4 linked regions of the Cricetulus griseus genome follow. The protein of the gene in region 1 binds, or shares a complex with, the protein of each later gene. Links are inferred from orthologs where the notes say so. Each region holds a gene or a part of one and is shown on either strand. Other genes may lie near its edges. The genes, in order: Stx7, Vti1b, Stx5 and Bnip1.

The links.
Region 2: Stx7 (region 1) and Vti1b share a complex: the UniProt entries of both Homo sapiens proteins name them as parts of the SNARE complex. The link is inferred for Cricetulus griseus from reciprocal best matches to the Homo sapiens genes STX7 and VTI1B.
Region 3: Stx7 (region 1) and Stx5 share a complex: the UniProt entries of both Homo sapiens proteins name them as parts of the SNARE complex. The link is inferred for Cricetulus griseus from reciprocal best matches to the Homo sapiens genes STX7 and STX5.
Region 4: Stx7 (region 1) and Bnip1 share a complex: the UniProt entries of both Homo sapiens proteins name them as parts of the SNARE complex. The link is inferred for Cricetulus griseus from reciprocal best matches to the Homo sapiens genes STX7 and BNIP1.

The regions. Positions count from the first base shown.
Region 1 is NC_048595.1:243,389,974-243,397,585, reverse strand, and holds part of Stx7 (syntaxin-7), read right to left. Parts: intron 5,774-7,612; coding exon 5,680-5,773; intron 5,018-5,679; coding exon 4,880-5,017; intron 4,157-4,879; coding exon 4,104-4,156; intron 3,499-4,103; coding exon 3,402-3,498; intron 2,196-3,401; coding exon 2,123-2,195; intron 1,356-2,122; coding exon 1,273-1,355; intron 1-1,272. UniProt on the Homo sapiens protein: May be involved in protein trafficking from the plasma membrane to the early endosome (EE) as well as in homotypic fusion of endocytic organelles. Mediates the endocytic trafficking from early endosomes to late endosomes and lysosomes.
Region 2 is NC_048598.1:124,465,317-124,472,928, forward strand, and holds part of Vti1b (vesicle transport through interaction with t-SNAREs homolog 1B), read left to right. Parts: intron 1-2,954; coding exon 2,955-3,013; intron 3,014-4,278; coding exon 4,279-4,470; intron 4,471-6,807; coding exon 6,808-6,981; intron 6,982-7,612. UniProt on the Homo sapiens protein: V-SNARE that mediates vesicle transport pathways through interactions with t-SNAREs on the target membrane. These interactions are proposed to mediate aspects of the specificity of vesicle trafficking and to promote fusion of the lipid bilayers.
Region 3 is NC_048596.1:51,353,932-51,361,996, reverse strand, and holds the start of Stx5 (syntaxin-5), read left to right. Parts: upstream 1-3,618; 5' UTR 3,619-3,764; intron 3,765-3,931; exon of another isoform or gene 3,932-4,440; 5' UTR 4,441-4,462; coding exon 4,463-4,687; intron 4,688-5,030; coding exon 5,031-5,101; intron 5,102-5,262; coding exon 5,263-5,318; intron 5,319-5,536; coding exon 5,537-5,607; intron 5,608-8,065. Other genes in the region: Wdr74 (WD repeat-containing protein 74), read left to right, coding at 1,398-1,498, 1,579-1,634, 1,939-2,084, 2,214-2,270, 2,559-2,735; testis-expressed protein 54-like, read left to right, coding at 2,932-3,010, 3,141-3,352. UniProt on the Homo sapiens protein: Mediates endoplasmic reticulum to Golgi transport.
Region 4 is NC_048600.1:47,010,773-47,018,384, reverse strand, and holds the end of Bnip1 (vesicle transport protein SEC20), read left to right. Parts: intron 1-805; coding exon of another isoform or gene 806-846; coding exon 847-938; intron 939-3,798; coding exon 3,799-3,900; intron 3,901-5,048; coding exon 5,049-5,167; intron 5,168-6,085; coding exon 6,086-6,282; 3' UTR 6,283-6,685; downstream 6,686-7,612. UniProt on the Homo sapiens protein: As part of a SNARE complex may be involved in endoplasmic reticulum membranes fusion and be required for the maintenance of endoplasmic reticulum organization. Also plays a role in apoptosis.

The sequences.
Region 1 (7,612 bases):
CGAAAGGCTACCAAACAGGTCTCTCCGTATGTCGGGCTATCACTGTCCCACCAGAGACCACCATGGGACAGAGGGAGCACAGTTTACAGACAGCACTAGAAAAACCTCAATTGTTAAATTCACATATTTTTTTTCCTTCGATGGAAGAAACTGACACTGTTTTCCCTCCGGAAAGATGGGAATGGATATGTCAATAGTTGGTCATCTTTGCTATTCTGCAAAGCCGGCCCTCATCGAATCATCCAGAATTCTGAGCAACGTCTGTCAGTCAATAGAACCCATCTTTATGTGTATCACAAACCCTTCCTCCCTCAACCCCAGACGCTCTTTGGGAGGCCAGTACGGGACTGATCCAGCCCCCTGATCATGGATGCCAATGGGGAGGCCCCTGCACTCCTGGGAGCCTCTGGAGGTGGACTGGCGTTTTGCCCTGGTGGGTGGGGGGGACTTCGAGAGCCCATCCCACTTGAAGGGATGCGCTCTGTCTCTGGACACATGGGGAGGGGCCTAGGCCCAGCACAGGAAGATTTGGTGGATTTGGTGGAGCCCCGGTTGGGGGCCCTACCCTGCCTGGGGAGTGGCGGGTGGATGGGGTGGAGGGGGTAGGTTGGAGGTGGGGTAGAAGGAATGGGGGTGAGGGGAGGGAGAGGGAGAGGGGAAGTACATGTGAAACAAGCCTGTTCCCTAACTTGAATTAATAATAATAATAATAATAATAATAATAATAATAATAATAATAATGAAAAGAAAAAAAAACCCTTCCTCCCTATGCCCAGACTCCTGAGCACTGCTTCCCAGTCAATAGAACTCATTCTTGTGTGAAGGTCACAGGTGCTTTGCTAAAGAGATGTACTTTGATGTAGCCATGCCTGAAGCTTTGGTGTAATAATTCCCACATGGAAATTTTTTTTCCAAAGTTTTACTGTGTTTAAGTACGTGAAAACTTCTGGAATATCAGACTCCAGAAGTTTTTGATCCAGCACCGGCTAAGCTGTGCTGACCCAAGTTTTATTTGTACCTCACCTGGATGGTTTTCCTGCCTTCTGTGATGCTTGCTTCCCACAACAGGAAAAGTGTGGAGTAGTAGTCTCTTGCAAGCTTCATGATTTCCTATCTCTGTAGATTAATATGAGAATACACATGCCCAAACCAATTTTAAATTGACTGGCATGCTTCTGATCCTCCCCTCCCACAGAATTCTAAAGTCAGCCTATGCAACCACTTCAAGTCAAAACTCTAAGTTAAAAGAAAACGGATTACAGTTAATGTTACCTGATAATCTGCTGCTCTTGACAGCTGCTGGTTCGCCTGTTGAACGTGTACCTCTGCACTTTCTACATTGGCTTCTATGCTGTCTTTAAAATAAAATGCACATACACATAGAATTGTTAAACATGAACTGATGAGCCAATTATAAACCACCAAAATTCATTCAGCAGACATGTAAGGAAAACACGCAATCCAGATAATATACAAATGCATAAGCAAATGGCCTTAATCATATCTACATCTACTGGACACAACAAAAGTGCTGTCAATTTGCAAATGTCAGATCAGTGTCAGCACAAGCTCCTGTCAGTTTCTAACCCCAGAGCTTGCACTGCCTCAAGACCAATGTGCAAAACACATCAACCCTCTTCTCCCTAGGCCCAAAGACATTCGACATCACATAGAAAAAGTCTACCTCAAAGAACACTTCTCAAAGAACACTCTCCTCAGGACCAAGGAGGGGTCCAAACACATCCAGTCCTTTGTACGTTTATTTACTCAAACTACCCTGTTAGTTCTTAGTGTTCCTCGGCTTTGTATTTGATTCTGTTAAATACAACACACTTCAAATGATTCACATAAACACAGTGCTTTACCTACTTTGCATGGGACAGTGGACAACTTCACAGTAAGAATTTGATAATTGTATTCTGTTTTCATTAACCTAACTGCCGTGAAGTGTAGTCCCCACCCAGGACCCACAGGCCTTCACAGCAAACTGTAGACGCTATGCCTTTGATTTCAGAGGATCCCAATGAAACAGAAAGGAAGTGGTTTCTTGCTTGAAAGAGCTGCTGCAGGTAAACTGCAGGAAACTTGCTCCTACTGCCCAGAACACACCAGCAGGACTTACCAATCACATCTCCTTGCTCATGAATCATCATTCCCAAGTCTTTAAAGATTTCATTAATGTCCAAAATATCAGCCTAGGACCAAAAAAGCACACATTATACATTATTAGAAATTCAGTTCCCCACTCCCACAAATGAGGAAATTCAAAAGAAAAAGAAAGGAACACATTTATCCCCACTCATACATATATAAGCATGCAATTAGAAGTAATATATAATTTTGGAGAACATTGGAAAAATATACTACTATAAGCAATCCTAACAAAAGAGCTCCCAGATGGCTACTCGTTGTCGAGAGTAAACCTGTGACAGTTGCTTTATTAAGTGAACAAGATGGAAATTGGGGACTGATAATGGAGCAAGGCCATGGGGCACTAAGGCCAACCTGTTTTCTTGTCACAGGATATATTTTCTTAAAGAATATGGATATTATTATATTTCAATAAAAAATTCACCAGTTTGTCATCAGTTTGACAATTTCAATGAATAAGACATTATGTATAAGTGTAAAACCCTACATTAACAAATTTGAATACCCAACAGACTATAGTGAAATTTTAAATGTCATTAGTGGGTAAACAAATTATAAATTTATTGGCAAAAGAAATTACAGCTTTACTTTTCTTAATTATATACCTATTTCTTTTTCACCGATTAAAGACTTCATTTAACTGTGTAAGGAAGTTTGCACACCTATCGTGGCTTTAGTTTCCCTATCTGTAAAGTGTCATAGTTAGCAAGTGTAAGTAGCTTTTAAGAAGACAGAATGAGAAAATTAATAGTTATCCCAGTGCTTTGGCACATGGAAGACCTTGAGTGAACTGTAGCTACTGGTAACTATTATTAGCCCACTTTTTAGGGGCCAGATTGGTTCCACAAGAACTACAACTTAAGAAATCCTTCATCTCTGTAATACAAGAGACACCCAAAAAAAGCAGCACAGTTCTTTTAATGCTGTTGTAAAAGTCTTACTCATGGCGGGATGGTGTGTTCGGGCTGAAGGATGTCAGTTCCCCAGACTCCCTGGACAGATGAGTATTTCTAGAATGGTGTTTTCTCAACACTGAAAGAACTGTGGATGATTTAACACTGTGGATGGAATACGACCTCTCCCCCTACCACCAACAGCATCATTGCTTACACAGGAATTATTCCAAATTCTACAACTAGAAATTTCACCAAACTGACAGATGTTCTTAGAGTTTTCTTCCCCGGCATTATCCAGTTCTGTGAACATGCTCAAAGAACAGGGCAGCAGTGGGGCATGCCTGTAAGGCTTACTTCCAGCTGCCTGATTGAAGACTCTCTCTCATGAATAAGGCGTAGGTCATCTTCTGTAATTTCTTCATCTTGGACCTGCACTTGAGGCTGTGTTTGGCTATAAAAATAAATACAGAAGGAAGATGTCTTATCCACTACATGGGACATTTTGATCCTCAAGACCAGAATATTGCTCATTTTAAAAAGTGCTAAAATAGGTTAGGCATAGTGGTACATGCCTGTAATCCCAGCTGAGGCAGAAAGATCTGGAATTAGTTAGTCTTGGCTACACGGTGAATCCCCGGCTAGCCTGGACAAAACAGTGAGATCTTGCCTCCAAAAAACCTCAATAAACAAATAAAAACTTCTAAGTATAAATATTTATTTTATCCAAACTTTATCTCATTTTCATTATACTCATGATTTCATCATATATAGATTCAAGTTCACTTAAGTATTAAAAATTATACTTGCCAATTTCACATATAAATATTTTATTCTTAAAATTAAATAAATAAGTTTATTTGGGTGATCTATTTACATATTGCATTTAAAATAGTTTATAAATACTTAATTTTCCCAAATTTATTATTTCTCTACAAATAATAAGCTGTTTATGCAATAATATAACACAAGCTTTCATGAGTTCTGCTTCATGAAGTATAATAGATGAAACTTGAAAAATTATCTTTTGATTTACAAACTGTTTCTTTTTATTCTTACCTTTCCCAGGACACAAGATTCTTTTCTTTCAAGCTGTCTTCAGGAAAACCACCCTGAAAATTTTAGTTAAAAGACAGAAAGAAAGCAAGAATAAGGAAAAGCAAACAACACACAAATGTCCCCTTAAGATGGTGGATCTGTATTTTGGGTGGGTGTGTGTTCATGTGTGTGTGCATGCGTGTGAGTGTGTGTGTATGTGTATGCATACATATGGGTGTGTGCAGCTGCAATGGCAGCAGGAAAGGATAAGTTCTTGTTCTAATTTTCTAGGTCAACTAACTGCTTAAGTAGTGACAAAATAATAACTTAAACTGATGAGGATGGAATTCACTATTACAAGGACCAAATAATAAATATAATTTTACTGTCATTGTGAGTGAAATATCAGCTAATGGTGGATCCTGTAAGAATTAAAAACTAGACTAACACAAAAGTTTACTTTATCCTTTCCAGGCTCATATTCACTTTCCGAATCCCTTGGCACATGCCCTGAGTTCATCACCAAACCCTGGCACAAACCCAAGCACCAAGCCTCAAACCGACTTGCAATGAAAAGGCCACCTGGACTTGACCTTTAACCTTTGACAAGACAGGTTTTTCTGTTTTTATGGAGTCTGTACTTTGCTATTGCTCCACAAGGAGTAACTACAACAATACACAACATGAGTTTTCTTAAAACCTGGGGTGAGATCCCCTTAAATGGTCACAGATTTAAGAGTGTCACAGATCTCAACTTTATACATTAGGACGATGTCAATGCCACTCACAATACTCACCGATACCCTGGAGCTGGCTCTCACTCGAGCAACAAACTCTTTCTCTCTCTCAGCAGCTTGCCTCTGGGTCTTCTGAAAGTTTGTCAGTGATGTTGTGAATTCTGCCACTAATCGGTCCTTCTGTATCTTTCTTTGACGCTAGAGGAAAGGGAGAGACTGACTCAAACTGAGAAGCTCACCACATCTGCAGTAGTTGCTTCCAATTCTTTGGCTCTTTCTTTAATTCTAAAATCGCCACTCAGTCCCCAGTTACAGAAACCATCAGATGAACTCTCAGGAACCTTTATAATGGGTTCGAACCCTTGCGCTTTTATCTTGAGGCAAATGGCCCACTGTGCAGGATTTCTCACCTTAGACTTTAGTAGTGGCTGATAAGTGGGTCATGGTCTTAAGGAGAAATTTAGGTAATCCTCCTTTTAGGCAAATAAAACCTATACACTAAGCAAGCAAGAAGCTAACTTGTGCCCCTAGGCACATCTTGAGTATGTGCATGTGGGTGTGGGTGTGTGTGGGGGGGGCAATAGCCCTGCAAAGCCAGGATGCAATTACACCAGGAGGCATTTTCTCAGCACGTACTTAATTATGGGTCAGGGCAACTACATGGAAATAATTTCTGCTTTGTGCGACCACATGATACTACCTGAACAACTAAATATGGTTCTGAGTTCTGGTAACTAATCTCAAATTCAATGTTTTTGGTTGCCTAACTTCCTTTGTAGCATCGCCACTCAAAGATCTGGCCATGCATTTAATTTCTTTTACATTCAGTACATCAAAGCATGCATTGGAAAGCCTGGTACCTGTTCACTGGGGGTGGTGGGCAGTGATCCAAACTCTTTAATGTACTTATCTGTTTCTTTCGCAAGTTGGTTAGTATATTGCTGCTTCTGCTGCCTAAAGTGAAAAGAAAAAACAAAAAGAGAAACAGAAGGCACAAATACATTATTGTCAAAGAAAAACTCCACCACTTGTGTCAACCTTAGTAAATGGTTGTAGAAGAACTAGTCTTTTTGTCTGGGTATTTATAGTAACAAACTATAAACAGTGAAAGTACTCAGTTTTCTGAACATGTGGTCAATTTCTTCTGCCAAACCAAATCTTTAGGTTCTGTTTTTCTGATAAATACTAAGAACTATGACATAGAAGGGTCTTCATTACCTAAAATAACCACTCTTGGAGAAACATGAATTGTGATTACCTATAAGTATAGATCAATAGCTACAGATGAAAATGACTTCAGTGAGAAGGGCATGTAGTCAGGACAGTGATGGCGGTCTGGTCCTTTATATTTGAGAGACTGAAAATGTCTATAGCTCTTATCTGTGTCTCCCCTAGGACGTCATCTGAGAAAGAAAGACTATTTGTTTTTGTCCAGTGCCCAGGTGTGAGGTACATCTTGTATGTCTTATTTCTTTATGTGAATACTTATGTTCCACAAACACAAAGATGGAGGAGAAGTAGTGACAGTACAAATTTACTAGTTATTAAACTTGCTGTGGAAAATCTAACAGAGCTTCCTTATAAATAGACCTGAATACAAAAAAAATGGGGGAACTAAATTATACCTATACCTGTATTTTCCTAGATATCTTATAAAAAGAGTATGAATTTTAATGAAAAACCTTGATACTCAACAATATAATCTTGCATTAAAGGGATGCTTAGAAAAGACACCAAGGCCTCCCTTGTACATCCCTTATGTTACACATGAACTGCCAGTGAGGCTCACAATAAAAAGATGCTCAGATGCAGATGCCTGTATAGAGCTAGTGAAGAAGAAAAATAACCAGCTCACAGTTCTAGACACCAAATGCCCTTGCTTGGACGTGCTTCTCTAAGTTTCTGGAACAGGATAGTCAAAGTTCTCAAAATGCATGATCATGTCTATGGATTCAAAATTTCCACTGTTCGTGCCCCAAAACTAATGTGTCTATTTAGTATGAACTTCCATTGAATTGAATTTCAATGAATGTTTGTGTATTAGCTATGATTCACCCCAACACTTATTGTAGAGAAAAAATATGAACTACAGACAACTACAAATACTTCAAACTTCTTAAAAACATGAGTTTATATTCTGTATCTTTCCATATCTTCTTTGTACTTGTATTCTAGCTAATTGTTATATGGAGATAATGCTATGTGTGTGCATGTATGTTTGTGTGTACATATATATGTGTATGTGTGTTTGTGCATGTGTGTGTTTGTGAGTCTGTGTGCATATGTGTGTCTGTGTCTCTGTGTGTGTGTATATATATGTGTGTGTGGGGGGGGGTGTATCACTTGTAATCTGTAGCTAGTTAAAGTGCTGAGAACTCAAAAGGTTCTGAATAGTATTGGGCAGATCATCAAGGCCCTAAAAGAGAAATTTCCCTTATGAGCAATTAGAAATGGTTCTGTGTGTGAGCATCACTCAAATTTTACAAAGTTCAGGTGAGAAAAGATGACAAACACTATGAAATCTATAAAACACACAAAGTACTATTACTGTTCCTCTACTGGCATATTTACTGATACATATGTAGTGTGTGTGTGTGTGTGTGTGTGTGTGTGTGTGTGTGTGGTGTGCATGTGTATGTGTGTGTATTTGGAAGTTTTGACAGAGTTTCACTGTGTAGCCCAAGATGATCTGGAACTTACTCTGTAGCTCAGGATGGCTTTACATTCTCAGCAATCCTCTTGCCTTTTCTCCAATAAAATCCTACTATAAAAGCATCATAGAAATGGTTTTCT
Region 2 (7,612 bases), on another chromosome or scaffold:
GAGGGCACAATGGAATTCCTGATTCCATAGTGGTGGCAATTTTTTTTCAAAGAGTTGATTTTGTTTAGAGAGGCTACCATTGTACACATTTATATCCTTCACAAAATTTCCCAAAAGGAAAGCCATTAGTAGTGAGAATGATTAAAAATAAAAGGTGCTGGAGAAGTGTGGTCTGCAATGTTTAAATACTGGAACTTTGTTAAGCAGCAGTGGTCACTATGCTGTCCACACCACTTAGGGAAAATGCTTAGCTGTCCAGGTTCTAGTTTCTAGAATTGTAAAGTGAAGTTGATAATCTCTGAGATCCATCCTAGCTGTAATGTAAACTAAAGCACAAAAAGACAGCACAAAAAGCCTCAAAGTTGACATGGTGGGGGTGTTATGTCTTCTGGCTTCACAAGATTGATTCCTGACTCCCTTGCTATGAGGCACAGCTCCCATAGCAATGCAGCTGGACATAGAGCTTGGGAAGAACATAGACTGGCACTTTGAAAATACCTCTGACCACAGCAGCCTTCATGTTCCAAACTTAATGGCTCATCCTTGAACACACACTTGTCGAAGTTCATACAGTGAATTGCCTGTGCATGATTGTGGCCCTTTTTGTTGTGACTTGTTACTTTTTTGGTTATCTTGGAGCCAAGGCTGGGAAGAGCTTCTTCTAGCTTCTTCCCCAGGAAGGAATGGTTTCTTAGGCCTCCCCTTTGCTCTAAATCTCAGACTTCATAAAGGAGCAGAAACATGAAGCTCAATTTTGAAAGGTAATGCATTTCCTAGAAGTATAGTATATAAGCTGTAGAGCACTCACAATAGGACACTTGGGTTTTATACAATCAGACAGAATTACAGCTCCAGAGTGAAAATACCATGACGTAGAAACATTGCTGAAAGCATATCCCTTCATCCAACTGCTACCTCTCCCCACCACTTTCACTTTCTTGAGTTGTTCTAGAATTTGCTTCTTGAGTGTAAATTTTCAAATCCTTTAACAAAGGCAGAATAAAGAATAACACAGTTCTAGAAAGATCCAAGCTAGGGAAGGTATCCAGGCGTGTATACAATACTGCTGCCATGTGCTTTCTAGCTTGGGTCACGAAGAGGGTGTGCTTGAGTTTGGAGATAGGCTCTGTCATAGGAGTAGTGACACATGATTACAAAAGAGTACATTGTTGCTGTGTAAGTGGCCATTCTTAACCACAAGTCTTACTTTTTTCATTATTGGTGGCTCAGAGCACAGGCCCTCAGGAATAGTAACATGCTCTGGTGTCCATCTCAGTTACATCGAATATAGTCAAGATGTGTGCACCATTTGCCAGGGCTAAACCATTCCTTGTTTTTATTGTTGTTAATTAATGGATCCTTGGGTTTTGTTTGGGGGTTTTGTTCTGTCCTGGCAGTGCCTTGTGTTAAGGGAGTATCAAACAACAGTGGGTGGTCATAGTAGATAGTGAGTTGGGTGGTGGTGGCAAGAGGATCAAAAGTTGAGGGTCATGCTTGGCTACAAAGCAAGTGGTAAGTTTTGAATTATAGAAGACCCTGTCTCAAAAGAGAAAAAAAAAAAGAGATCAAAAACTGCAATGATAACTTTGTAGTAAGTAGATTATGTGTATGTTTCCTCAGGTATCTCATTCAGTTGAATGTTTTGTTGTGTTGTGTTTTTGTAGCTCTGGAACTCACAGTGTAGACTAGGTTGGCCTCAAACTCAAAAGGTCCACTAGCCTCTGCATGGTCTTAAAGGTGTGAGCCACCGTACCCAGTGAATGCATACATTTTTAAAAATTCAAATTCTTCACAAATAAAGCTGAGTGCTGCTTGTTATATAAGAAGGGATGATCTGCTTCCTTGTTTTATAGCCATAGAAATGAAGAAAATTGCCATACTTTCCTGTTAAGGGAGGTCCGATACTGGTTCCAGAACCTAATCCCCTTGACTAACCAGTGCTCTCCCCCCTACAAAGGTTTACCAGGCGACAGCATTTCAAGTACATTAGTCATTTTTACTATGCCAGATGCCGCTTTTACTGTTATTTAGACATTCTTCCTGTATCAGTGTACTCATGTAAAATATGTGTCTAATACAGTTAGCTTTAAAGGAAATGTATGTTTTAAGTGGAAAATCTTCACATTACAGATGATCAGAAGAAACATAGTAAAGGTGAAGTACTATTAATTTAGCTGGGTTTTTTTTTGTTTTTTTTTTTTTTTTTTACTTTGACACTGAAGCTTTTTCTCTTATTGCTAAAATGGAAGATCAGTAATTTCTGTTGAAGACAAAACCAGCCAGGAATAGTTGAACTTACCCATAACTTTGGCATTTGGGAGACTAAGCTAGGAGGATTGCAAAATTGAAGGCAGCCTGGCCAACTTAGGGAGAGCCTAATTTAAACAAACAACAAGCAAGCAAGTGCAGCACTTAAGGGGACATGCAAAGGGCTGAGAAAAGAATGACCATCCCATGGTCAAGTCTTTATCCAAGCCACCATAGGTGAGGGAGATATATCACACTAGTGAGCAGAGCAGGTGAATTTTGAGTTTGTTTTGCAGAATAGTGGTGGTTATACATTCACTTTGGAAACCCAGTATTGGCAGATATTCATATTGTTGAGAGAGTGCCTGCCCTCTGTGAGGATGGGCAGGGGAAAAGTTAAAAATGATTGTTAATTTAAACCTGTAATAGGGATGCTGTTGGCTTTAGAACCAAATAATTGTTATGTTAGACTTTGTCCTCAGCAGGAACAGTTCCCTGGGTACTAAATGCCAATGCAGTGGGTACCCAGGGGCACAGTGAGAGCAAGTCTCCAAATGTTTCTAAGCCTTTGCAGGGGCGGGGTGGGGGAGTTAAGTATTACCATCCCACCCAGAAAACAATGGTAAGCTTATTCTAAGCACAGGGAATGACCTCTGCAGATGCACAGAAGCAGTGATAAATGTTTGAAATGCACCTGTCTTTTCTAGAAGAGAAGAAGAAGCTGGTCAGAGATTTTGATGAAAAACAACAGGAAGCAAATGAAACGGTGAGGACAGGGAGCAAGTCCTTGTTTCTTGTACTTGGTTTTGGTCTTTTCTAGAAATTCTATGACTTCGTAACAGGTAACCTTTTCCTGTCTACTAATCTTGATTTTGACTGTTTGCAACTCTTAGGTTCTCTTTCATTATTGTATAAAATACTTTGGCAAAAGTGTCTTAAGGGAGAAAGGGTTTGTTCTGGCTCACGTTTCAAGGGTACAGTCCATTGTAGTAGACAAGTCAAGGTAGGAGGAACTTGAATCAGCTGGTCACGTCACAGTGATGGTGATGCATGCTGCTGCTCAGTTCCCTTTCTCCACTCAGTCCAGGATGCTCTGTAGGGAATGGTGCTACCCACAGTGGGCAGTCCTTTGCATCCTTGAGTATGCAATCAAAATCATCCCCTAGAGGCTACCCTAGATAACAGGTGTGACCAGAAATGTGTCTTCTAGGTGATTCTAGATCCTGCCAAGTTAGCACAACTCACCATCACACTTATTAAATGAGGCTGACTGACGGGAATGGGTGTTGAGGAGGCTTACAAACACAAATAGGTCAACTTTTGATGATTACTGAAGTACTAGCCTCTCCTGACATGAGTAGTAGAGGCATTCCCATCCCTTTCCTGAAGCTGGCCACAGAGGTCAGTTACTGACCTTTGTTGAACTTAGCACAGATGTCTGTTTCATGGAGAGTGTGTATGCGTGTGTGTGCAAGTGTGCACGCGCGTGCGCACTTATTTGCAGTGTTAGGTATAGAGCCTAGGTCCTTGCACATGCTTGGGATTGGTAGATAGGCACTCTCCCACTGGGACATTCATGACATATTGATGTTTGTGGAAGAAGTACACATGTGGAAGAGGATCACATTCATGTGACCTCATTCTTCAGGTTCCACCCACCTTGCTGTTTGTTTTCTTCATTCTTTTTTGAAACAGGTTCTCTCACTAGCCTGGAACTTGCCAAGTAGACTCTCCTGGCCAGCCAGCACTGGTATTCTAAGTACACTGCCATGGCCAGTTTTACTTACATAGATTCTGGAAATTGAATTTAGGTCCTCATATTTGCAAAGCAAGTACTTTACTGTCTCTCCAACCCCATAACGTACTTCCTTGAGTGTCTACTAGAAACTATTTCAGGCACTTAAAGTGAATGTGGTGTTTGTGTGCCACAAAAATATAGTTGCTATTTTGGGTAGCCTGTGGTAAAGTTTAAGCATATGCCCAGGTTAGGGAAAAACCAGGCTGTCTACTTATCCCTTTCTGCCATCCTAGCTAGCAGAGATGGAGGAAGAACTACGGTATGCACCCCTGACTTTCCGTAACCCCATGATGTCTAAGCTTCGAAACTACCGGAAGGACCTTGCTAAACTCCACCGAGAGGTGAGAAGTACACCTTTGACAGCCACACCTGGAGGCCGAGGAGATGTGAAGTATGGTGCATATGCCTTAGAGAACGAACATTTGGTAAGTGGTAAGCATTTGGTAAGAATGAACAGTGGTAGTGACATCCCCCACAAGGGCCTGTGGTACACGAACTAGATGGGTGACGGCTACATCGGTGTATACTGGAGTCTTGGTTTTTTATTTTCCTGCACTTGACCTCTTTCCTGCATCCAGTCCCACTCTCCCGCTCTTTTTAATGCGGGTCTGCCTAGATTTTTGTGTGCATACATATATAGAACAGGACTTGTTTCTAGCAAACCTAGAAACTCTTCCTAGTCAGACTCCATCTTGACCTATTGATCTAATTCCTGAACTTATATAAAGTTTAGAATCATTTTCTCAGATATATTCCCAAAATCCAGTTAGGTTTTAAGTTTTCATTTGTTTTTGAGATTGATTTTATGTGTACAATATTCTGTCTGCATGTATCCTTGCAGGCCACAAGAGGGCACCAAATCTCATTACATATGGTTGTGAGCCATCATGTAGTTTCTGGGAATTGAACTCAGGACCTCTGGAAGACCAGCTAGTGTTCTTAACTATTGAACCATCTCTCTAGCCAGAGATAGGATGATTACTTGAGCTAATACAAAACCCTATCTCAACCTTCTGACGTTTTGTTTTGTGTGTGTGTGTGTGTGTTTTTTTCAAGATTAATATAAGCTTTGTTAGCTTAATATCAAGATGGCTCTGAAACTGATAGAGAAAAAACACAGGGTGCTTCCCAGGAGGACTATTCTGACACTCTAGTCTCGTAAAGTCATCTAAAATGCTACTAACATAAAGGATTGAGACATAAAATTGGACTTCAAGAACCCATATCTTGAACCACTTAGAGAATGGGCTTAACCTCTGAGCCATCTGTCCAGCCCCCTGCTTTGTTTATTACATTCTTTATTTTGTATGCGTGCACAAGCACATCTTGTGCTGTTTGCCACTGTTCTGTAATAAGCTCTGTGAGCTGAGCCCTTCTTGGTTGTGTGTGCTTCCAATAGGTCAGAACTTAGTACTGCACCTATCCCTGTCTGTACTTACTAATGCTGGCCTGACCTAGGCTGCTTTGTGGTCATGCTGTGTTTAGGATTGTAGATGGAGGAAAAGTTCAGTGAGGACTCTTAAAAATTTAGAGCTCCTACGAGTTAGGGCAGCTAAGAAGCTTGTGGCCCAGATTCTACCTTCCCTGTGAACAAATCACCAGTGTGATCATGTCAGAGTGCTGTTTGGCATGAGGGGAAGTTCCCCAACATAAGCTTTTTGTTTAATATAAGAATGTGGCAATGTCTCTGCCAAGAAAGAATGCTTTATATGGTCCCTAAGCCCTTAGTACCAGCCAAGCCCATCTTCAGCGAACTAATCATTTCCAGAGTTGTAGAGGCTAGTTTACTTGTGGCACTATTGAAGTTAAAGGGTAGCCAGGCATAATGACATGAACTTGGAGGTCGAGCTGAGAGGGTCATGAGTTTGAGGCCAGCTTGAATTACAGTAAGACTGTCTCAAAATATATACATATATATATTTAAGCAAATAGTTTTAAAGTTGCAGGCTGTTTGCATTATCAGGTGATTTTTGTATCCTGTTGCCCAGTTTGGGTGCTGACTGAAGTTGCTAGTAACGAACCAGTCCATGTTTATGATAGATTTCAACTTGTCCACAGGGAAAATGCTCCAGTGGTATTTCATTTGTTTTTTAAATCTCTTCTGTGTCACAGAAGTATAACAGGCAGTGGGATGTGCCTCTGTAGTCTGTGACCTTGAACAGGATCTTATAATTCATTAGTATCTTTGATTCTATTTTAAAAGCACAGCTGACCAGCTCTTTGTGCCTGCTGCAGCTGGATATTGAGCCTTGGATTAAATTAAAAATATTGATTCTACCAGCCTGGTCTACATAGTGAGTTCCAGGTCAGCCAGGACTGCACAGTGAGACCCTGTCTCAAAAAAATTCTAGTTGAGCGCGCCAGTGCCGTTTTCTAGCATCCATGGCACCCTGGTACACACATACAGATCTTTGAAAACTCTCTTATATGCCGGACATCTGACTTTTATCTGGCCATGATTCTCTTGAGCCAAAAATAACTTTACATAGCATTTACCTTTTATTAGGCATAATTAATCTAAAGATGATTTAATGTATTGGGAGGATGTCTATGTTAATATGCAAATACTATACTATTTTACATATGGGACTTCAAAAAGATTGGCCTAGAACCAGTATCTTGCAGGTATAAAGGAAAAACCATAATGAAATGATTGCTCACTATATTGCTTTTGCACAAGAAGGTGGTCATAAAGAATATATTGACAATAAATTTATAATGGAATAAACAAGTTTCACATGTCCCTTCCCTACTCCTGTCAGAATCGGCTACAGTCTCAAAGAGCATTGCTCCTACAAGGCACGGAAAGCCTGAACCGGGCCACCCAAAGCATTGAGCGTTCTCATCGGATTGCCACAGAAACTGACCAGATTGGTACAGAAATCATAGAAGAGTTGGGGGAGCAGCGAGACCAGTTGGAACGTACCAAGAATAGAGTAAGTCTGGGCAATGTGTGAAGTATGTGGGTCCTCCATATAAAGGCCAGATACTACAGGAGGCCTGAATTTTGGGAATACCCCGCCTAATACTATACTTAATTTTTAAATTGCTTGGCTAAGAAATCCCCCCTTATAATTTCCCATGGGCCATAGAGATGGGTCATGCAATAAAAGCAGCTCATATATCTGTAGCCCCAGAGTTGGGGGATAAGTATTAGAAACTGTTGGATCAGCCAGTGTGACTAAGTTTAATTGAAAGAGCCTTTCTTAGTAAGGTGGAGAGCAACCAAGGAAGGCGCCTCCATTCCCACAGATGTGCACATACCACACACACACAAAATGTGCATATGTGTATATATATTTGTAACTGGGTCTCGTTTAAGCCTGGCTGCTGGTCTGGAATTCACTGATCTTCCTACCTCCTAGGATTAAAGTTGTGTGCCTCTATGCTAGACCATAAAAGAAATTTTGTCCGTGAGATTTAGAAATCGTTAGTTTTATTTCTGAAGAATCTGATTTGTGCCACTCCCCCTCTCTTGCTTTATTCATTACAGGGTCATCAACATATTGTAATTTCAGATGTAGTGGCATATTTTTCTATTCTTAAAAAATGTGTATAGGTATTTTG
Region 3 (8,065 bases), on another chromosome or scaffold:
TCATACTAGGTTCCACAGGGAACAGGTATCATGGATGGACAACAGGTTTGCTGTCAAAACAATTTTATAGTCCTCTCATCTAGTACTAACCAGGCTCATGAGATCTGAAGATTGGGTATATTCTGGATGGCATGTCCATAGAAAGAATTTTGTAGTCCTCTTGTAGTCTAATTTGCTTTGAGGATCCCTTTCTGGGTGAGGGCTTGGCTAGAGATCTTTGTGGCTTATTTCATTTGAAGTTCTGAGACTCGGGCAGGGTTGAATCACTATTTGCCATTTGTATAGTCCTTCATATTAAAGTCTGATTTAAGTACTAGGCCTTTGCTACAACACATGAAGAGCTCCCCACTGATGGGAGCTGTTATTCTGTATATGTTTCTTTTATTGGTTGATGAATAAAACACTGTGGCTAGTGGCCAGGCAGGAAGGATAGGCAGGGATACCAGATGAAGAGAATTCTGGGAGGTGTAGGCAGAGAGGAATCATCCTGTGAGCCCAGGAAGAGAGGACAAAAGTCAGGCATTCTCTGGTAAGACCATGTAGAAATACATAGATTAGTAGTTATAGGTTAATAATTAAGACAGAGCTACCCAATAAGAAGCCCAAACCATTGGCCAACAGTTTCATAATTAATACAGTGTGTGTTCATTTGGGGCAAAGTGGGTGGAAAAGAGTGCTTGTAATAGCCCACTCCTCCCCTGGGGTAAGGCTAAGCTTTCCTGCTTGAAATTCACCACCCTCTAGCTTTGGTCCAATCTGCTTTTCTATTCCTCCACTACCTTTAGATGGACATATGAGGGACAAAATGTTTACATACTCTCAAGGATAGACATCTGCCCTCAGTCTGTAATCATGCTTTTAAGCAGTCCTTCCCCCAGCATTCTGAGATGAGGTACATACTGCAAATGAGAAAAGTTTCTCTGAGGGGGGCTTATAAATAGTAAGCAGTCTTGCCAAGCATCCCTTTAATCCCAGCACTTAGGAGGCAGATGAAGGTGGATCTCTGTGAGTTCCAGGCTAGCCTGGTCTACAGAGCAAGTTCCAGGACAGCCAGACCTTTGCAAAGAAACCCTATCTTGAAAGAAAAAAAATTAAATAAATAATAAGCAGTCTTCAGAAGGATGATGATAGATATGGAGATACTGGAGACCAGTGTGGGTAAAGATATTCTCATGAGCCAGGCAGTGGTGGCACACGCCTTCTATCCCAGCACTTGGGAGGAAGAGGCAGGCAGATCTCAGTGAGTTCAAGGCCAGTCTGTTCTACAAAGCAAGTTCCAGGACTCCAGGAGATAGCCAGAGCTTCATACAGAAACCCTGTCTCAAAAACAAAAACAAAAAAACAAAAAGAAAAGAAAAGAAAAAAGAAACTCTTGTGATACCTCAATCTTACTCTAGGTCCGTGTCTATGATCCAGTCTCTCCCCAGCGACGGCCAGTCCTAGAGGCCACCTATGGAGAGTACCCATTGACAGCCATGACCCTTACTCCTGAGGGCAAGTGAGTGTTGAGGGGAGGGGGAATTGCTCTGGAATGACTCCAGAAGTTGTACTGAGCCCCTTCTCTGGTCTCTTCCATAGTTCTGTCATTGTGGGAAACACTCATGGGCAACTAGCAGAAATTGATTTTCGGCAAGGTGAGTGGACAATGGGTTACTTGAGAAGGGGAAGGGAGAGAGAGAAAGGTAGTATAGGGAGTCACTGAGTCCTGGCAGTGCCACATTCATGCCCTGGGTTAAAGTTTGGTCTCAACAAAAAACTGAGACCTTGGACTAGTTACTTGGACCCTGTGCCTTTGCTTTCTCATCTATAAAACTGGAATATCTCTGGTAACTCCTGTTTCTAGGGGGATTAGGTATGGAAACATAAGTGGTTTGAACGGTAACTAAGTAAATGTTCACTGGCTAGGTAGCTAACACTGTTCCCTCCACCCTTCTCTAGGACGTCTACTGGGCTGTCTGAAGGGGCTGGCAGGCAGTGTCCGTGGCCTGCAGTGCCACCCTTCCAAGCCCCTATTAGCCTCTTGTGGCTTGGACAGAGTCTTGAGGATACACAGGATCCGAAGTCCACGTGGGCTAGAGCATAAGGTGAGAGCCCATCCCTCTGGCATTCCCCCACTCTAACATCTTTTTCTGGAGACTTTCCCCCCTCCCTGTGCCCCACATTCAAGTTTCTGTCTCTGCTCATCTGGGCTCAAGACCCCTTTTATTTTACAGGTTTATCTCAAATCTCAACTGAACTGCCTCCTCCTGTCAGGCAGGGATAACTGGGAGGTGAGCAACTAGTTAGGTGTAGGGATTTGGGAGCCAGAGGCATGATGGGGAGGGATTCTCTGTGGAGAGAATGGGAGGCAGCTAGAACATAGACCAGGGCTGTCTCTCTACTGTAACCTAATTTCCCTGAGGGATGCTCTACCCTGTATAGCCTTATTGCTGAGGGTGAGGGACTCCAGAACACAACTGCACTGGTTTCTAGGTCAAAGTAGTGGTGTCCAGAGAAATTATTTTTCTGCCAATCTCTTTCCTTGTCCCTGATTCCTGAGTTTCTTTCTCACTCATCAGGATGAGCCCCAAGAACCTCAAGAGCCCAACATGGTACCCCCAGAAGACACAGAGACAGATGAACTTTGGGCATCTTTGGAGGCAAATGCCAAGCGGAAGCTCCCTGATTTAAATCAGATACAAGGGACTCTCCAAACAAGAAAAAAAAAGAAGCGGCCTGGATCCTCCAGTCCTTGAAGACTTTTGCTATTTTGTTAATAAACAGCCCAACACACACAGAGACCCTGAACCTTTTGTGATGGGAGAAAGGAGAGGTGGCTTGTGGGTGGGAGGGGTTCCCTCACCCGGGCTGTGGGAGACCTGACGTCACAAAAGCTGGGTCCAGAGCTAAGCAGGCTGGGGAGGGTGGCAGAGTCCTGCGCCTCTCGGGGCCATGGGCTGCTGTCAAGACAAGGACCATCAGACCTCTGATGAGCATGCAAGGGAGGAAGTGACCGACGAAGGTAGGCAAGGTAGGCCCAGATTCAAAAAAGGGTCAGGGAGCTGGATTGGGAATGGGAGTGGGAGGTGCCCAGAATGGACGGCCTAAAGAGACTGGACTAGAGAGGAGAACTGAACTAAGTGGCCTCGTGGCCCTTGCAGACAACGAAGTCAATTTGGACAACGCAGGCCGCCGCAAACAAAGATCTAACGAAAGTCTTCTGATCACCGTGCTGTGGCGCAGGCTATCCATGTTCAGCCGTCGGGGGTCCTCACGGTCAAGCAAGAGGCTCTCAGACCTGACTCAAAAGCAGGAGAGTCAGATCCAGGAGCGCAAACGTGAGGGAAGCCACAAGGAACCAGAAAAGGGCTGACTCCAATCCTGCTCTCGTCCTCCCCAACATCCAGAGAATAAAATTAATATTGTGGATCTGCCGAAAACATGCCTCTGCCTCCACATCTGTAGGCGCCGAGGCGCTGGCTCTTTAAGACTCCTCTGGCCCAGCCCTCTGGGATCTGTTTCTGCTCTTCAGGGGCGGGGCCACAGCGGCAGTTTAACCAATAGGAGAGCGGAGTCGAGCATGCAAGGGCAGAGGTGTGTTCTTCCTGTCTCTGGGCTTAAAAAAATAGGCGTGGCGCGGCATCACGTCACGGGGGTGGGGTTACGTGTGGGTGACGTGGCGGCTCCTGCTCTTTGCTCCGATTTGGGTGGCTTACAAGTCCAGCGAGGAGGCGGCGACGGCCTGGAGAGAGTGGCAGTGGCGGCGGCGGTAGGCAACAGAGGAGGTAGGGCTTCGTTGGGGTAGGGGGCCAGTTTCTGTCGGTCGTCTCAGCTCGGGGGCAGCGGCTTGACGGTGGGGGAGGGGGGAGAAGGGAGCCATGGGCAAGCCCTGCTGGCGGCTCCGCGTAAGCGAATACCTTGCTGTCCAATCAGGAAAGGCCTTGTTGAGAAAGACGCCGGCCCTGTCCAATCAGTGGCTGCAGTCTTCCAACAGGCGGAACTTTGATGGAGGTGGGACTTCCTGTTTCAAATAAACACTTAAAGAGGTTTTCCCCCCCTCCGCCCACCGAAGTGTGTCCACCTTTGGAGGTCGGTTGCCGTTTTTCCGTGAGGGAGTTAAGGAAGTCACGTATACCAGAGGGCACGATTAAGATCTGGGCCAACTGCAAAGGTCTGGCTGGAGGCTCAGGGCCGCAGGACCAGGCTTTGGCTGTTTTCTCGACTTTAGGGCCCCAGCCGGTGCTTTGGCCGTCAGAGCCAAGTTGGAAGGAGATTCTGAGGAGGCTTCGCCTTGGGCCTGGAGGAAGCTGACCCTTCTCGCCGTGGCCGGGCTGCAAGATCTACGGGTGGCCTTGGGCTCGAAAGCCTGTCAAATACGGGAAAGGGCCTGAGGATTTGCTAGTTGAGGGGAAAGCTTTGGGGAACGAGGCTGTCTGGAGAATGACATTCTCCTCTCCACAGCAGTCCGAGGTTATGCGACTCGATGATCCCGCGGAAACGCTACGGATCTAAGAACACAGATCAGGGTGTCTACCTGGGTCTCTCAAAGACACAGGTTCTGTCCCCTGCAACTGCTGTCAGTAGCAGCAGCGACATCACTCCTTTGCCCACCCCGGTGGCCCTGGTCCCTTCCCCTCCCGACACCATGTCCTGCCGGGATCGGACCCAGGAGTTCCTGTCTGCCTGTAAGTCGCTGCAGAGCCGTCAGGTAAGGACCTGGAGTGGAAAGGCAGGTGTGAGCCTAATTAATGCTTACGTTTTGTCTGCTAGTTGTCTAAATTTACTTTACAACAAAGATTAGCGAATCTTACCAATAGGAGTGGAGGAATTGTCTTCAGCAGGGATTAAGAAAAGATTAAATACCACGAACGATGAGTCAAGATTTAAACCTACATATAATTTTTTTTTCTTAGCTATAAACCACTGATAAATTTAGATTGTCTGATGCCAACAGCACTGGAGTGTTTAGTGGATATGTGAGGGAGCAGTGAAAAGCTGAGCATGAATAGTGAAGAGAACTAAAGTATCCACTTTTTGACATTACCTTTCAGAATGGAATCCAAACAAATAAACCAGCTCTACGGGCTGCCAGACAACGCAGTGAATTTACCCTTATGGCCAAGTGAGTTAAGAGAGTCTTTGGGGGGGGGTGGTAATACAATGTCTAGGAAGTTAATTTGCCTGTGTTGGTTAGGCTGAATGGGATTGGTTGTGTTGGAGCTTATGGGAATTAGCCTCTTTCCTGCCCTTTACCACAGCCTTCTCACTGATGATCATTTGCAGGCGCATTGGAAAAGATCTCAGCAATACATTTGCCAAGCTGGAGAAGCTAACAATCTGTGAGTGTTTGGTAGATCTTTCCTAGATGGGACAGTGAAACATAGTACTAGGAAGTGAGGATCGTGCAGTTTTTGTTTTATTTTCTCCTATGGTGCTGGGGATTTTAAACTAGGACTTTGTGCATTAAAGCAAGTGCCTCTACCACTGAACTGTATTCTTAGCCCTTTGAGCCTTGTTATTACCATCACCTGTTGTAACACTTCATCTGTCTCTGCAGTGGCAAAGCGCAAGTCCCTCTTTGATGATAAAGCAGTAGAAATTGAGGAGCTAACATACATCATCAAACAGGTGAGCTGCTAGCCATCAGGAGAGCCCAGCATTCTAATTAGATTACTTCCATCATTTTCCATCGCCATGAATCCCCAGGGTAAGTATCTAGACCCATGTCCAAACACCCTGCTCCTCCACTGAGTCCATAGACACTTAGGATCATCTAGCATTTGTAAAGTACTGTTCTGTATGCTGATGGAACAAATGAGAAGCAAGATTATTGTCTTTAAGGGTTCATTCTTCTTAAGAGTTACCCAGCATCAGGAGCCTAGGCTTAAAATGAGTAAGTGATAGTATAGAAAAGATTTTACAAAAAGATGAATGAAATAGTATGCTGGGAAAGATTGACAGAGGATATGAAATCTGAACTGGATTCGGAGGTTATATAGAGGAAATAGAAGGACTTACCAGTCTGAGGAGTTTATTTACAGAGGTGTTGATTAGAAAAGGGGGAAGGTCAGCTGAGAGTAGTGATGAACACCTTTAATCCCAGCACTCTGGAGGCAAAGGCAGGCAGATCTCTGAGTTCTAGGCCAGCCTGGTCCACAGAGTGAGCTCCAGGACAGCCAGAGTTGTAAGTTTATTCTCTATAATTACCTTACGTTTGTTTGATTTCATTCCCTGTATCCTTTCTACTTTTCTAAAAGAGAAGGAAAAAACAAAGGGGCAGGGCAAAAGATTTGCAGATACCTCAGGAGCAGGTTCTTTGTTTTGGTTTCAAGACTCTAGATATATAGCCCAGTCTGGTATTTTTGTTTAAGTCAGGGTTTCTCTGTATATCCCTGGCTGTTCTGGAACTTGCTGTATAGACTAGGTTAGTCTTGAACTTAGAGATCCGCCTGTCTCTTGTCTTCTGAGTACTGCAATTAAAGGCATATGCTACCATTCCTGGCTACATGGTGGTGGTTAATTTGTGATTTTCCTGCCTCAACCTCCCAAGCACAGGGATTATATGATGTATCATTATGCCTGCCCAGGATTTTTCTTTCCTCTTGTTCACAGGTGTATTACAAGTGTTTATAATAGTGACTGGCCTGATTGTTGGTTGCCCAAATGAATGACTGGCAAGATGTTGGTTGTTGACTGAGTGGCTAGTTGTAAAGAGCATTGTGGACCTTGATAACAAGTGTAGAATCATGTGTCTGGGTAATATGTCGAGTCTGATCTGGAACATGGATTGGGTGGGATAGAAGTTAAGGAGCCACTGGTATGGCTGTATAGTACAAATATGGTGGCAGAGGTCAAAGAACAGATCCACTGGGGCTGGAGAGATGGCTCAGAGGTTAAGAGCATTGGCTGTTCTTCCAGAGGTCTTGAGTTCAATTCCCAGCAACCACAAGGTGATTTACAACCATCTATATTGAGATCTGGTGCCCAGGAATACATGAAGGCAAAAGGCTGTATACATAATAAATAAAGAACTCTTCCACTGGATTCTGAAAAACTTGAAGTTGCTTTGTCACCCACTTAAGTTGTAACTTTGTGTGAGCTTCTAACTTCTGAGTTGCCATTGTCTTAACACTAAGGCAGAGATAGTAAAAGTACCGGCCCCACAGATCTTGTGAGATCATTTGTTTGCTTTTGGGGGATGGGGGGCCAGTTTCAAGACCGGGTTTCTCTGTGTAGCCCTGGCTATCCTGGAACTCCCTCTGTAGACCAGGCTGGCCTTGAACTCATAGAGATCTGCCTGCCTGTGCTTCCTGAGTGCTGGGATTAAAGGTGTGCTCCCCACCAACTGTCTGTTTGCTTTTGTCAGTCATATACACTGGGTTTTCAAGGCTGAGACTACCTTGGGTTGGTTGATCCAAGCTGGTTTGGCTGAAGAGGTGATACTTGAGCAATGTCTGGATAGTGAAGAAAAGCAGTCCATTTGGTGATCTGGTGGGAGTGCATTCCAGAAAGTGGGAATGTAATGTGGAAAATGAGCATGGAAAAAGGAAAGATCTCACTGTGGGTAGCGTCCAACAGTGAGACAAGCAGAGGGCTGAGAGAACTAGGCAGTGCAAACAGCAGGCCTGTGTAAAGCAGCTCAGGCATTTAGGTTGTGTTCTAAATTGAGTGATAAGCTCTTAGGACATTGTCAAGCAAAGGGATGACAATACCCTGAATTTGGTTTTGAAGATCACATTGGCCACTATTAATGCAGTAGGTAATAGGAAGGCAGACCAGAAAGAAGGCACATTTAAGAGGCTCTTGGAGGTTTTTGAGTAGAGAAGATGGTTAGGGTATATGAGGTAGAAATGGAGATAATGTGGATAGATTTAGAATATACTGGGAAACAAAACAAAGTTTGTATTGGAATCAGTTGGGTTCTATGTGGGCTACTAATGGTTCCAGGTGGATTAGAGGAAAAGGGGGATAGAGGTATTTTTTTATTTTGTTCATTTTTTTTTTTTTTTTTTTTTTGGAGACAGTGTCTTACTATGTAGACCAGGCTGACCTTGAAATCATAGAACTGCCTGCTTCTGCCTCCCAA
Region 4 (7,612 bases), on another chromosome or scaffold:
GTTCTTAACTCTGGTACTGTTGGTCATGTCTGCTATCCTTTGCTCATGGTAGACTCTTTTCCTTGGTATTTGGTTATTTGGAATCATGGGCATACGCCTCTCCTGGAGCTTCTGCAGCCTGGCCCAGGGCACATCTCTCAGTCTCCAGGGATTGTCATAAGTCTGGGGACATTGTTTATGTTAATTTATCTTCTGTTCCCAAACCACTCAGGAAAGATAAATCATTCCTCTACCCAAAGTCCCATAGCACACCCCCTGCCAGCCCCCTCAAAACCAAAGCAAAATAAACCAGACAAGTGTCTGTGTTTGTGTTCTGCTGGTGAGTGGACATCCCCAGACTGGAAGCTTCTGCTGGGCCTGGGTTTGTGATGCTTTCAGTTCAGCTTCAGTGTCAGGTGGCCTTAGGCCTTAGTGTTATGTTCACAAACAAGTTCAAACCTTCAAAGCTCTGTTGGAGTAGGTGCAGAAATGGGCAACATTTGGAAACATGTATCAGTGTGGTATGCTTCTGATATTGCGTTGGGATTAGTGGGCTTTTGTTTTGGTGTGCCCCCCCACCTTTATTTCAGACAGTGTCAAGGCTGTAGGAATGGCAACCCCTCTTCCAGCCAGAACAGCCATTCTAGAGCTGCCCACTCCAGCACCCTGTTTCTAAATCACCTTTGGGCTGCCAAGATTTTCTTCTCTTTCTTGTAAATTTGCCTATATCTTTAAATGGATATTTGGTTGTTTTGGACATGCTCCCTCTCACTCCCAAGTATCTGTGGTAAAAGATGCTTCAGTTGCTTTTGTGTGTCCCTTCTAGAAACAGAAGCACTCTGGCTAACAGCTCTTTTCCCCTCCAAGGAGCTGGAACAGTCAGCAAGGGAGCAAGACAAGGAGTCGGATAAGCAGCTTCTACTTCAGGAAGTGGAGAACCACAAAAAGCAGATGCTCAGGTAGGCAGAGTAGCTTATGGCCACCTCTGCTGGCTTGCCGGCTAATCGTGAGGCTTGCACATGTATTTGTCTAATAAGCCTAGCTTAATGGTGATGTAGTGGTGTTATTAACACACACAGGCCGGAAGTTCTCTAGATTAGTAAGTCTCAAATGGAGGGGGTAAGAGGGACAAGTAGAGTCTGCATAGACATTTGGAGCTATGTGTGTTTATAGTGCTCACAGTGTTTATATGTTTACAGAATTAACCTTCTGCTGTACTGTGTATATTCATGTATCTTAAAATTTTGTAAGTGTGGGAGCTGTGTGTGGAGTCGGTCCTTTCCTGACATTTGGGGAGACCTAGGGATGAAACTCCACTCATCAGGCCTGCACACAAGCACCTCTACTCTCTGAGCCATCTCAATGGCCCTGGTTCTGTTGTTTATTTTTAAGACAGGGTCTTTTGTCTTCCAAGTTGGCCTCAAACTCAACATGTAGCTGAGGATGACCTTGGATTTCTGTTCCTCCTGCTTCTGCTTCCCAGGTGCTGGGGTTACAGGCGTGTGCCGCCACCGCATGTTTATGTGGTGCTGAGAAATCAAAGCAAGGGTTTTGTGCATGCTAGGCAAGCACCACACCAATGTAGCTACACCCTCACATCCACTTTTTATATAGTTGAAAACAAAAATACAATTACTTTTCAGGGCTAGAGAGATGGCTCAGCAGTTTCAAATGTGTACTGCTCTTCTAGAGGACCTGAGTTCAGTGCCTAGCACCCATCCATGTTAGATGGCTTACAACTGCCTGTAACTCTTAACTCCAGTGGGATCTGATCACACACACACACACACACACACACACACACACACACACACACACACACACACACACACAGGATTAAAATAATAAAAATTAAACTTTTAAGAACATGATTACTTTTGTAATACAGGGTAAATTTTATTCAAGAATAATTAGTATGAGGAAAGCTCATTGAAAGTGAGCCTGCTTACCCAAGATGGACCATAGTTTAGCTTTCAGTGTGGCATCATCTGAATGAATGATGCACAGAATGTAAGTTTATGTTAGAATTGAGATTTTGGTGACATTGCAGTTGTGTGCTAGTCTTTGATTATAAAGCAGTATGTGCCATTTCTTAGTCTCTAAACCAGGGAATATAACTTTTTTTCTGGCAACATGAATCACTGTTTCTCCCTTCAGGTTGTACTTTTGTCCTATAGTCCAAAAGGGTCATTACAAACACACCTTTCCCAGCCTCATGATGTTCAAGGCCATTTCAGTAGTATCTGCTATGTCAGAATTCCCATACATTTTCCTTGTCACAACTGTTTGTGGTTTCATTTCTGAGTTGAGTTATTCTCCAGCTGCAGGCTTACTAACAGCAGCTGTGTGAATAACACTCAGCTGTTAAGAGTGACTGACAAAGACATGGGAGTGAGTAGTGCAAGTGTGCCTGGCTCATTGGCCATGGCTTTTTGTGCCACCAGAGGTTCTCAGATTGTAAGCATGAACTCACAGGGAGTTTGTGTGTGTGTGTGGTGTGGTAAATTGCACCAAACACTGTCAGTTTAGTGTGGGCTTAAAACAAAACATTTTTCCTGTTTTCCTATTCCTGGTGTGGTTTTAAAGGTCTGAGGAAAGAAAACAGGAAATTCATGTTGAAGCAGCAGATATGTTTATCAGGTTACCAGGTTTGCCAAGCTGTATAGTATTTGCTTACTTTCCTCCCTAATAAATGTGAGCTCCTTGAAGACCAGGAGCTCAGCTCTGCAACCCTGAGCCTTGCAGAACACTGTTGTGTACAGTTTGAAGATGTTAACTGTTTGAAATGGCAGGTGTGGAATGGGCTGGGAGGTGCTGTTCAGCATCTGAGAGCCCAGCTGAAGAGTGCCTTTAATCCTAGCACTTGGGAAACAGAGGCAGGAGGATCTCTGAGTTCAAGGCCAAGCCTGGTCTACACAGTGGAGTTCCAGGACAGCCAGGGCTACACAGAGAAGCCCTGTCTTAAGAAAGAAAAGAAAAAGAAAAAAAAAAAGGTGGAAGGAGAAAGTCAGCTCCACAAAATTGTCCTCTGACCTCCACACATGTGTTGCGGAATGCTCCCCCACCCCAATCATAGACACATACTTTTTTTTTTTTTAATTTAAAGAAATTTACCCTATTAGTTAAGCACTCTGTTCTAGTATTTTGTGTGTCTGGAGCTTAGCTCAGTTGATTTGAGCTGCTGTGTGAGAGTTCCAAAGCATGGATTTGATTGTCAGAGGGATATGGTTGGCTTTTCTTGTTTGTCAGTGAAAAATGGATTGCTGATCTCGTGTTGCTTATACTTGAGACATCATTTACAAAGGAGCAGGTGAAGAATGTGAATAAATCACACCAGTCAGGGTGCCCTGTGATATTTGTAGTGTCTGTGACTGGTGTCAAATAGACAAAAATAGCAAGCCTTGGAGGAATGTTGAGGAATGTTGGCTTTTGGGATTTTAACCACTCTAACAGCCACTGCAAGAGGTATAAGTGATGGTTCCAGTACTAGGTATGGAGGAGGAATGCTAGGTCATGGTTCTCAAAGACACTTGTCAGGCAATAAAGCCATTGTGGGTCTGTGTCTAGTAGAGTGCCATTTCCCTGGTCTCCCAACTGCCTAGCAGAAGAGGGATAGTGACAGACCATTCTGGAAACATTTTCCAGAGGTTCAAAGGAGAGATATTAGAACCTATGCTAAAGTAGTTACCAGGGCTACCAAGAAGAGGAAGTGGAGAGGGATGAGGTTGAACTCTGAGTCATACCTGGGAGAGTGGACTGGTTAGGCCAAGCAACCTGGTGGTGACACCAGAACCTCATGTGTGACCCTTCTTCTTCCAGCAACCAGACCTCATGGCGGAAAGCCAATCTTACCTGCAAAATTGCCATTGACAACCTGGAAAAAGCAGAACTTATGCAGGGAGGAGACCTCTTAAGGCAAAGGTATCTTCCTTTTGTCCCTTTGGGCTCTGATAACACATCTAAGCGCCATGTGAGGTGGCCTTTTGTTTTCATAACATTTGTACTTTATGTTAATGCATAAGTATTTTTTTTTTCTTTTTTTGCGACTGGGTGTCATACATCCCCATCTGGTTCAAACTTGCTGTGTAGCTGAGGATAGCCTTGAACTTCAGATCTCACAGGTGTGCATCTCCACACCAAGTTTATGCGGTTCTGGAGACCTACCCAAGGGCTTCGTGCATACTAGGCAAGCACTCTATCAACCAATCATCCCCAACCCAGACTAAATTTGACTAAAATTGGTTTTTGATTTTGGGATTTTGTTTGCTCGATTTTTTTTTGTTGTTGTTGTTTTTGTTTTGTTTTTTGTAGTAGTAGGAGTTGAATCTGGGGTCTCATGCATGAAGGGCAAATGCTCCACCACTGAGCTAACTCCCAGTCCTCCCTGACAATTTTTAAGACTCTTCTTTTAACTGTGCATGCATAATATCTATGTTATTAACCAGTCCTGTTGGTGTGTTGGCATTTCTGCCTTTTCAGTATCGTATGCTGCATCAATGCAGGTTTTCATCCAGTTCCTTCAATAAGTTCTCTGGGAGTGAATGAACATTTCTAATCTCTTTGTACTTAGTGCAAATTGGTTTACAGACAGCAGCATGGTTTCCATTCCTCCCAGCAGGGCTTGAGAACGTGGGCTCAGCATACATCCTTAGCCACACTGATGGTTTAGGAATGTGCAAGCTGGCAGTAATAGCCCATGCCTTTAATCCCAGCATTTGGGAGGCAGAGGCAGGTGGATCCTTGTGAGCAAGTCCAGCCTGGTCTACAGGGCCAGTTCCAGGACATCCAGGGCTACATAGTGAGACCCTATCTTGAAAAAAAAAAGAAGAAGAAGAAGAAGAAGAAAGGAATATATGCTAGCTGGCTATGTGGTACATACCTGTAATCCTAGCACTCACTGGTGGGGGGTGGACTGAGACGAGGACATTCTGCCCTCTTGGCCAGGCTGAGCTACATTGTGAGACCCCCATCTCAAAGCACAAACAGAAAGAGCACTGATGTGATAGGTTAAGATGGTGCTTTTTACAAGCTAGGATTTGTAGTTATTGCTCCTTCCTCTGAACTTTCAGGAAAACTACCAAAGAGAGTTTGGCACAGACATCTAGCACCATCACAGAGAGCCTCATGGGGATCAGCAGGATGATGTCACAGCAGGTGCAGCAGAGTGAAGAGGCTATGCAGACTCTAGGTAAGGAGAGAAGCTGCTCCAGAGCGCACACCCAAACTGTGCCTCAGGACATGGCAAGGCAGTTTGGTCCTTTGGGGGGGGGGGGACAGGATGGTGGGTAGATGCTGCTCTTTGTCTCCTCCAGCTATGCAGCTGTGCTGACATGCCTCCTGCCATCAGTGCTCCCCTGAGGAAGCATTGCTAGGCTCATGTGAAAAGCAGGAATGGCAGTCTCTCTGGAGATGGGGTCTGTCATCGATGCTTGCAAGGGGTTCAGGAGTCTGGTTTTTAAGCATTGGCTTGTGGGCTTAGTATTGCCAGACAGGTTTGGGAATTAGGACCACTGACAAGACCATTACTGTGAGTTCCTTTAAATGTCCTAGCCAGAGGTCACAGAGGAGGCTGTTTGAGACTGCCATATTCTTGCCAAATGCCTTCCCACCATGGCTCCTTTGTAGAGAATTTGTTCCTCTAGGGCCCTTCAGTTGTAGGAAACAGAAAAGGAGTTTGTTCTTTGTAAGATTTCACATGTCAACCAAAGTAGACGGCGAGGTTTGGTAAATTCTTGAACTTCCCACCTTGCTTTCATGGCTGTCACAGCCACCTTGATTCATTTCTACCCTTACTTCATCCTCTATCTACTCTATACATTATCCATGAAAACAGTTCAACACGTCTAAAGCAAATGACAAGGGGGTTGGAGAGGTGGCTCAGTGGTTAAAAGCAAGTACTGCTCCTGGAGAGGACCCAAGTTCAGTACCTAGCATGCTAACTTTCATGTGCCTAGACCCACACAGATATGCACATAACTAACAATAATAAAAATAAATCTCACCTGCCTGGCTCAAGCACTGGCCTTGTTGAAAGTCAGATGGCCAGCATCCTCTTCGTTGCTGAGGTGGCACAGTCTGAATCAGGCTCCTTCCTCTTCTGTTGCAGTCAGCTCTTCACGGACTCTCCTGGATGCAAATGAAGAGTTTAAGTCCATGTCAGGGACCATCCAGCTGGGCCGGAAGCTCATCACAAAATACAACCGCCGGGAACTGACAGACAAACTTCTCATCTTCCTTGCCCTGGCCCTGTTCCTTGCTACAGTCCTTTATATTGTGAAGAAGCGCCTTTTTCCATTTTTGTGAGAGCTGCCAGCTGTGGCCCTTTGCACTCCCGATTCAGGACTGGGCTCTCAAGGACTGGCTGGGCCGCCAAACTGGACTGCTCCTCCCCTCAGGTTTTCTCTTGTTGCTCAGTGCAGCCAGTGGAGGGAAACACAGCAGCCCAGTTTCCTGCAAGAAGCTGCTTGGAAAGGGCAGTGGAATAGAGGAAAACGAAGCCTTCAGGACAGAGGCACTCCACGTTCACTCAGCTAGCAAGTGCTGTGGCTGCCACAGGGAATATTTCAACTCTGGGGTTTGATGCACCTCCTCCCTCCATGTCCTGAGGCATAAATGCTAGATCTGGTGGAGAAAAGAAGAGCCTGTGGGAGGGAAGGTGATGACAGTTCGTGGCTGTTCCCTGAATAAACCTCATTTATTTAATGGAGTGATAAATGCTTAGTTTTACAGGATATCCCACTGGGAATGTCCATGCTTCATCGTGTCCTAACTCCTAGGACGTGAGCTTAAATTATTCATTCAACAAGAAATTACTGATGTCAGAAAGAACACTTGCTGCTCTTTCAGAAGACCAAGGTTCATTCCCCAGTACCCACTTGGGGCCTCCCAACCACCTCTAATTCCAATTCCAAGCAGGCACATAGTGTTCTTATACACATACATACAAACACTCATATGAATTCTTTCTTTTTAATTTATTGCGGGCCAATGAGATAGTTCAGCTGGTAGAGGCACTTGCCAATAACTCTGATGATCTGAGTTCCATCCACAGGCCCCACAGGTGGAAGGAGAAAACCAACTCCAGGAAGTTGTGCAGCTGTGGCATGTATGTGTCCGTCCCTGCATATACACAAATAAATAAGAAAATTAGGTGTGGAACAGCTGCCACAGGCTGATTCCTAGACATTGCCAGACATTACACACGTACTTGTAATGCTTACACACTCCTCCAGCAGCAACAGAAGTGAGATGTCTGCATGAGGAACTGCAAATAGCCGCCATTGGAACTGCCCACACCAGCATCTGAAAGTGCTGAGACAGCTTTTTCTCCCACCAGCCTGGCAGAGTCTGGGGCATCGTGGTGACTGAGGAGCTTGCTGGCTCCCTTCTCTCTGAGGTCCAGACTGAATTGAGAAGCCAGTGCTACTGATGCCCAACTGTGCCTCAGTTCTCTCCATGCCAGGTCCAGGCTCCCAGCTAGACTAGCCCTGGAGGTGCCAGTGTCCCCCATGCTGTCAGCTTGGCTGGTCTTGTACTTGAAGTTTTTCTTGCACCTCTCACAGCCCTGGAGGACCTGAGAGGCAGAGAGTAAGTGAGCATAGGCTGGAACTGGCACTCAAACGTGCAAACCACA